Xenopus tropicalis: one gene and its partner. The protein of the gene in region 2 interacts with the protein of the main gene of each other region in a biochemical or structural test. Links are inferred from orthologs where the notes say so. Each region holds a gene or a part of one and is shown on either strand. Other genes may lie near its edges. The genes, in order: m6pr and plin3.

Region 1 (3,817 bases), on a different chromosome or scaffold from region 2:
GATGAACCCAAATCCTTTGAAAAGGACTCGGCCGAATACCTACCCCAAATCAGCATGACAGAATTTACATATGCAAATGAGGATATAAAAGGGTTAAAGAGCGCTGTGTGCTGTGAAAATCTTATCTTCCATGGATCTGGCTGAATCCGAATCCTGCCGAAAAAGGCCAAATCCCAAACCGAATCCTGGACTCAGCGCCTCCTTATTTCTCATATACACACAAACGCACAACTTTACTTAACGCTTGATTTGCATATGCAAATTAGGATGCAGATTCAGTTCGCGCTCGCACACTCGCACACACCCGCGCTCGCACACACCCGCGCTCGCACACACCCGCGCTCGCACACACCCGCGCTCGCACACACCCGCGCTCGCACACCCGCGCTCGCACACTCGCACACACCCGCGCTCGCACACTCGCACACACCCGCGCTCGCACACTCGCACACACCCGCGCTCGCACACACCCGCGCTCGCACACTCGCACACACTCGCTCACAACCGCACTCGCACACACCCACGCTCGCACACTCACCCGTGCTCGCACACCCGCGCTCGCACACTCACACACACCCGCGCTCGCACACTCACACCCGCGCTCGCACACTCGCGCTCGCACACTCACACACACCCGCGCTCGCACACTCGCACACCCGCGCTCGCACACCCGCGCTCGCACACTCGCACACCCGCGCTCGCACACGCCTGCGCTCGCACACTCACACACTCGCGCTCGCACACTCACACACACCCGCGCTCGCACACACGCCCGCACGCACTCGCACACACAGGCCCGCACGCACTCGCACACACAGGCCCGCGCTCGCACACACAGACCCGCGCTTTATGGCCGACCCATTGTGTCACTACTCACTGCCGACAGGTTGCCGAGCTCTTGCCACAAAGTGATATTAGGAAACTGCTCCATCCCTTTGGCTCCAACCACAAAGCGCTGGTAAAGGAACCCGCCAATGAGGTAAACGGCCACCAGAACAGCGAACCTGCGGGTTAAACATGGATTGGATTTTACATGGGCATGTATAACCGGTGTTATTTACTAAAGGGCCGTATATATCATTATACTGAGAATATAAACTTTCCTACAGCCTCTGCCTAAAGGGGTTGTTCACCTTGGAGTTCACTTTTAGTATGGTGTAGTGAGTAATATTCTGACAATTGCAATTGGTCTTCATTTTTTATTACTTGTAGTTTTTTCGTTATTTCATTTTCAGTTCAGCAGCTCCCCAGTTTGGAGTTTCAGCAGTTATTTGGTCGCTAGGGTCCAAGTTAACTTAGCAACCAGGGGGTGGCTTGGATGAGAGACTGGTATATGAATAGGAGAGGGACTGAATAGAGAAGAAAGTTACAAAAAGTAACAATAACAATAAAACTGGAGCCTCACAGAGCAATAGGTTTTGGTTGCCGGGGTCAGTGACCCCCATTTGAAAGCTGCAAAGATGTAGAAAAAGGCGTTTAAACCATTTAAAAACTGTAACAAATAAGGCAGACCAATTGAGAAGTTGCTTAGAATTGGCTGTTCTATAACACAATAAAAGTGAACATAAAGGTGGCCATGTTGTGGGAACGAGTGGCTCGTTTGGGGGCCTCACTGGGTATGGCCGCCTTAAGGGGAGAGGATCCGGTTTGTTAGAGTTATGATTCTCCTTTCCCTTGGGCTGATGGGAGATTAGGTGATTAGTTGCCTGGGATTAACTTCCTTTACTGCCAGTGACTAATCTCATCTGTGACGGCCCTTAAAGGAACAGTAACGCCTTTTTGTATTTTATCATCTATGTAACGTAAACTATTTCCTAGCAACAAATATTCTACTTCATATGAAGCTTCATTTTATCCCCAGGTCTGTCATGTTTCTCTCTCACTGTGTTCTGCACAGATTGTTCCCTGCTATGTGAGCGTTTGCTCTGTCGCCCAGTTTCATCTGGAACCACTCCCCCCCCAAATAAACGGCTCCCCCCATATAAACGGCTCCCCCCATATAAACGGCTCCCCCCATATAAACGGCTCCCCCCATATAAACTGCTCCAGGGTCTCTGAAGGGACGAGAGAAGGACAATGGTGCTAAGCCATTTTTTATTGTTATCTGTGCCCCCTACTGTAAATGATAAGGATATTAGCAGTCACTGAGGGGCTCTGTGCCCATATAAAGGCACAAGGCTGCAGGCTGAGTTATACAGGGAACTCTGAGTATCACTCATGTATTATAAGGGATAATGTACCCCCCTACTGTAAATGATAAGGATATTAGCAGTCACTGAGGGGTTCTGTGCCCCCCATATAAAGGCACAAGGCTGCAGGCTGAGTTATACAGGGAACTCTGAGTATCACTCATGTATTATAAGGGATAATGTACCCCCTACTGTAAATGATAAGGATATTAGCAGTCACTGAGGGGTTCTGTGCCCCCCATATAAAGGCACAAGGCTGCAATCTGAGAAACCCTACTATAGTTTATATAAATACCCCGCTGTGTAGCCCCGGGGGCAGCCGTTCCTGCACTGGTACAGCTGGGGTGTTTGCTACAGAAACCCTACTATAGTTTATATAAATACCCCGCTGTGTAGCCCCGGGGGCAGCCATTCCTGCACTGGTACAGCTGGGGTGTTTGCTACAGAAACCCTACTATAGTTTATATAAATACCCCGCTGTGTAGCCCCGGGGCAGCCGTTCCTGCACTGGTACAGCTGGGGTGTTTGCTACAGAAACCCTACTATAGTTTATATAAATACCCCGCTGTGTAGCCCCGGGGGCAGCCGTTCCTGCACTGGTACAGCTGGGGTGTTTGCTACAGAAACCCTACTATAGTTTATATAAATACCCCGCTGTGTAGCCCCGGGGGCAGCCATTCCTGCACCGGTACAGCTGGGGTGTTTGCTACAGAAACCCTACTATATATATAGTACCCTGCTGTACAACAACACACCAGTTGTACCAGTGCAGGGCAACAGTACATTATATTGTAATTACTTTTATATTTTGGTGTTACTGTTCCTTTAAACCCTTCCTGCAGCTCCAAAACCTCTCTCCAGCTCTCGGCCAATGGCGAGCCAACTCACACGATCAGGAGGATGGAGCCGGCGCTGAGATGCGACTCTTCGGGAGGGCAGGCGAGGCTGCTGTCCATCTCAAACAGGTAGAAACATTCGCTGGATTTGTTCCTCTCTTCCTGAATTACCGTGAAGCCGTCCTATAGGGGAAGAGCAGAGCCTATCAGTAGGGGGCGTGGATACTGCACAAGGGGCTTTTAGCTCAGCCCAACACAAAGACCGTCCGGCAAGCAGCTTTTTCAGAGTGATTTGTCACAACTGCCCCGTGGGTTCTTACCCTTAAAGGGCACCTAGCACCAGATAGGTGCCCTTTAACATTGGAGCTAATTAATTAATGACTAGTAATTAACGAGACTCCTGTCCCGTTGGTCTCACCCCGACAGTCCCCTTGTTGCAGGATATCATGACCATGGCTTTCCTCGCTTCGTTATTGCAGTGAGTGTCGTACTTGTCGCCACTTCTATAGTACAGCATGATCCAGTCGCCTGTGGGAAAGGGAGGCACGTTAAAGGGGCGGTTCACCTCTACCTTTAGTATGTTATAGAATATCCTATTCCTAGCAACTTTGCAATTGGTTTGTATTATTTATTAGTTTTTGAATTGCTTGCCTTCTTCTTCTGACATTTCCAGCTTTCAAATGGGGGTCGCTGACCCCGGCAGCCAAAACCTATTGCTCTGTGAGACTCCGGTTTTATTGTTATTGTTACTTTATATTCCTTATCTTTCCCTAGCAGCTAGGCTGATAGGGA
Region 2 (4,351 bases):
TGCATTTGGCCTACAGCATATTTTGAGGCCAAGCAGAGTCTTATATGCAAAGAACCGCAAAGAAATTATTTTATTTTTTTGCTGTTATCACCCCTTTATCCTGAAAGAAGATCACACATGCTATACAGCTCTAACAAAAAAGGTGTATAAATTCACTATCCTCCATATTCTTTATTTGTTACTCACTCTGTGGTTCCAGTCTCGTTAGCAGTGGCTGAGCTCCACTCATTGCAGCCTCCGTTAGAGTCTTCGCACCTTTCTCAGCCACGTCACACACACTGCGTATGTAGGGGTGACTTTCTTTGGTGGAGCTATATACAGCACCAACAACACTGCATGCCGAACTAACCAGAGGAAGGCTTGTCACTCGGCTCACTGCATTCTGTTGAAATAAATACATCTAAAGGTTTTGAGGACTGGATCAAAAACAAAAAAGCATGTGAAGGTTTATTAAAGGAAACTGCACATTTTAAGACAGGGATCCCCAACCTTTTAACCCGTGAGCAACATTCTAATGTAAAAAGACTTGGGGAGCAAGACAACCATAAAACATGTTCCTGTGGTGCCAAGTAAGGACTGTTATTCGCTATTTGGTAGCCCCTATATGGACTGACAGCCTGCATGAGCCTCTGTTCTGAATATGTCCCAAATCTGCCGTCTTCATGTAGTGTACATATAAGAACATCTTTGCCAAAATCATTATTCCTACATGGTTGGCTGATGGAAAAGGACTGAGCTAGAAATTTTAAAGTAACAAATAAAAAGGGAGGTACTTTTTCTTCAAATTCTGACACCTGAAATAAATCTATTTGCATTTGACCAGAAGCAGTCACTTATGTAGCTATGCAAGCTATAACTATTATTAAAGGAAAAATAAAGTCAAAGTCACTTGGGGGTGCCAAAATGTTAGGCACCCCCAAGTGACTTTGACCGCCTACCTTTTACCCCGGGCTGGTGCCCCTGTGAGGAAGGAACAGCACCAGCCCGGGGTAGCTGCCGGCGCTTCCTTGCTGCTGATTCGCTGCGCGCGCATGCGCAGTAGAGTGAAAAGCCGAACTTAAATGTTAAAGTCGGCTTTTCACTCTACTGCGCATGCGCCCACCGCTGGCACTCAGGAAAAGGAAGCGAGGAAGACGGAAGCGCTGCGCTCCAGGTGCCCCGGGCTGGTGCTGTTTTCTCCTAACAGGGGCACCAGCCCGGGGTAAGAGGTAAGCGGTTAAAGTCACTTGGGGGTGCCTAACATTTTGGCACCCCCAAGTGACTTTGACTTTCGTTTCCCTTTAAGGCCTAAAATACCACTATATGGGTTATACAGGAGAGTTTACATAGCAGGCTGACTGGGCACTATTTTATATATATTTGATGCCTAATAAATGTTAATACTGAGAGACTTATTGGTACATGTACATTATAAGCAGGATTGGCAAACAGGAACAGAGCTGCCTATCAATGGGGAGAGTGGGCCAGAGAGACTTAAAGGGGAGAGATATTATAAAACAAAAAAACAACCTTAAAATCCCCTAACAGAATAAATACAGAGAAGTCAGACTGAGATTTGATAGGTTTCCCTAGTTTCAGCAGCCACAGGTACCAATGGCCCCACTTAAAATGGCCATACATGGCCAACTTATCTGCCCGTGTATGGGCACTGCCGTCAAGCCTACCTGACTGATATTTGGCCTAGATAAGACAGGTTTTATTTTCCCCTCGAATCAGGGACTGTATTGGCCCGTTGATGTGGTCCTTGGTCCGGTAGCCCATATACCTGCCATTTTACTCCGATCATTTGGCCCAAGGACCAAACAATTGAATTAGCCCGATATTGCCTAGTTTAGGTTGATATTACCACGTTTGGTGACCTTTACTGTACAATAATACAGATACATGCAAACAAATTCACACTCTCTGGGGCTCATTTATAAACACTGGGCAAATTTGCCCATGGGCAGTAACCCCTAGCAACCAGTGACTGACTATTTTTCAGCCAACTGTAAATTGAAAAATGAAAGTACACAGTTGATTGGTTGCAATGGGTTACTGCCAAGGTGCAAATGTACCCCGTGTTAATAAATGAGCCTTTTAGGTTTCTCACAGACATTTAGCCTTTCCTCCAACTGAAGCCATTTCCTAACACTCTTTCTTTCACACACACACACATCATGTGACCAGGCAGGGACACAGAGGAGACTCAATCTAAAAAGTTTCAGACTGCAGCAGCTACCAAAGAGACCTGCAGCGTTAGAAGGAAAGAGACAGAATTAGCTGGAGCTGAGATCTTAAACAAAATTATTGGAACCTGGGATACTTGTTCTTGTCCTGTTTGAAGGGAAAACTTCAAGGTGGAGCAGAAACACCCCTTTTCCCTTATTGTGGTTAACTATATCTATTAGTACCGCAGGTGTTTTCGGATACCTGGTTAAACATCACAAATACTGGGTCCCTAATGCTGTGTAAACTAATAAGCACTTCAAATTCTGACACACAAAAGGGAGATACCTCTGCGGCTGCTCACCTGTTGCTCGGGAACCTCATCAGCAATTGGCGCAGCTCCATTCTCAGACATTGTGCCACGCAGCTTGATATTTAACCTGGGGCAAAGAGCAGAAGCACCAAGATATGAACAAAAAAGCACTTATCCCACTGCAGTTCCGATTTAACAACCCCCACCCACAATCCAGCACAGCTCTGACATAACTGTTTACAGTCAGAAAAAAATCCCACTACACTGAGAAACGATGATAGTATTAGCCCCCCTAATACCTACACTTTACTTACACACTCGTCTCCTCTCTTTGTAAGTTCAGCTCCTCCTTTCTTCCCCCTACTTAAAGGCTTGATGTGTCATCAGAGTGGGAGGAGTTATACTCAGTGCCTAAAAGGGGCAGTAGAAAAAGGCAGCTGCAGCACAGTGGAGAAGCAGTTTCTATGTAGCTAATACTATTATAGGCATCCACAGTAAGGGGCAAGTTTTCCCCTCAAACAGGGCACAACAACAAGTGCCCAAGGTCCTTACAATGATGTTTAAGATCCTAGATTGTGCTGATTATGTCTCTCTCTCCTGATAACACTGCAGGTTTCTCTGCATGCTGCTGCAGACTGAAGCTATGTGTGTGTGAGAATGAGAGAATATTAGGAAATGACTTCAGTTAAGGGGTAAGGCTAAATCTGTGTGTGTGTGTATGTGTGTGTGTGTGATTGTGTCTGTGAGAGACTGAGTGTGAGTTTGCATGTGTCCCAGCCTGACCCGTTTGTATTTGTTTTGTTAGAAAAAGGTAGGTTTTATTGTTTTTAACTCTAGCCTTAAAAGGCTAGCCTTCTATGTAAACTCTCATTACCCATATAGTAATATAATAATTGACTAGTTGCTTCAGGTCAAATGCTTTCAAAATGGATTTATTTATATCAGGTGTCAGAATTCAAAGAATTAAATTTATCCTTTGTGTTATTTTAAAATGCTTTTCTTACTAAGGAGAGTTTGTAAGTTATTATTATTTATATAGTGCTATTTTTCAAATACAAGGCAAAATATTTAACATATACCTTTTTTCCAAAATTAATTTGCAGTTACAATTGGATATTGTTAGAGGGAGGGCCTGCTTGTTAGAGCATACAGAAAAAGAAAGTATGTTGAGGGTAACGAGTTTGACTGAGTTTCTGTTTTTTAGTAAAGTGAAGAGTAAGAGATAGTAGTAGTGATTGTGTAAGCAAAGAGTAGAGGGGTTCTGGGGGGTAGTCAAGTTGCTGAGTGTTTAGGTTATAAAAACAGGGTGACTAGATCACTTGAAAATTCAGGGTCTAATAAATACATGTTGCAGGGCAATTTAAAATAAACTGCAATCAGTTTAGCCCTGCTAACTGAGCATGTCAGAGGATAGGTGTAACGTGAAAACTACTGCATGTGGGGGTGAAAGGAAGTAATGAGCAAGTAAGAGACGGACAGCAGATGGACGATTACATCTTGGTGATTAGGGTGCACTATATATAGTGGTGGGCACTGGTGAGCATTTTGTAGGTGAGTACAAGAATCTTGTGGAGTGGGAGAAGAGTATAAGTCTGCAACAGTGTTCAAGATGGATTAGAATGGGGTCAGTTTACATAGGGAGAATCCAGAGAGCAGTGAGTTAGAGTAGTCTACTTGAGATTTGACAAGGTCATGGATGAGAATTTTATTAGCCTCTTGTGTGAGGAAGGGCCAAATATGAGAGATGTCCCTAAGGTGACAGCGGCATAATTTAGTAAACCCTCAAATTTGAGGAATAAATGAAGGGGCAAACAAGAGTCAAACAAGACTCCAAGGCAGCAAACTTGTGGAACTGGGTTTATATTGTTGTTTTCCACACTTACAGTGATG

Evidence for each region.
Region 1: the proteins of plin3 (region 2) and m6pr form a complex in vitro, tested with the Homo sapiens proteins (2 studies listed by BioGRID). The link is inferred for Xenopus tropicalis from reciprocal best matches to the Homo sapiens genes PLIN3 and M6PR.

What each region holds. Positions count from the first base shown.
Region 1 is NC_030683.2:7,999,064-8,002,880, forward strand, and holds part of m6pr (cation-dependent mannose-6-phosphate receptor precursor), read right to left. Parts: intron 3,554-3,817; coding exon 3,444-3,553; intron 3,209-3,443; coding exon 3,078-3,208; intron 1,005-3,077; coding exon 878-1,004; intron 1-877. UniProt on the Homo sapiens protein: Transport of phosphorylated lysosomal enzymes from the Golgi complex and the cell surface to lysosomes.
Region 2 is NC_030677.2:93,721,888-93,726,238, reverse strand, and holds the start of plin3 (perilipin-3), read right to left. Parts: upstream 2,884-4,351; 5' UTR 2,776-2,883; exon of another isoform or gene 2,765-2,775; intron 2,589-2,764; 5' UTR 2,564-2,588; coding exon 2,513-2,563; intron 383-2,512; coding exon 187-382; intron 1-186. UniProt on the Homo sapiens protein: Structural component of lipid droplets, which is required for the formation and maintenance of lipid storage droplets. Required for the transport of mannose 6-phosphate receptors (MPR) from endosomes to the trans-Golgi network.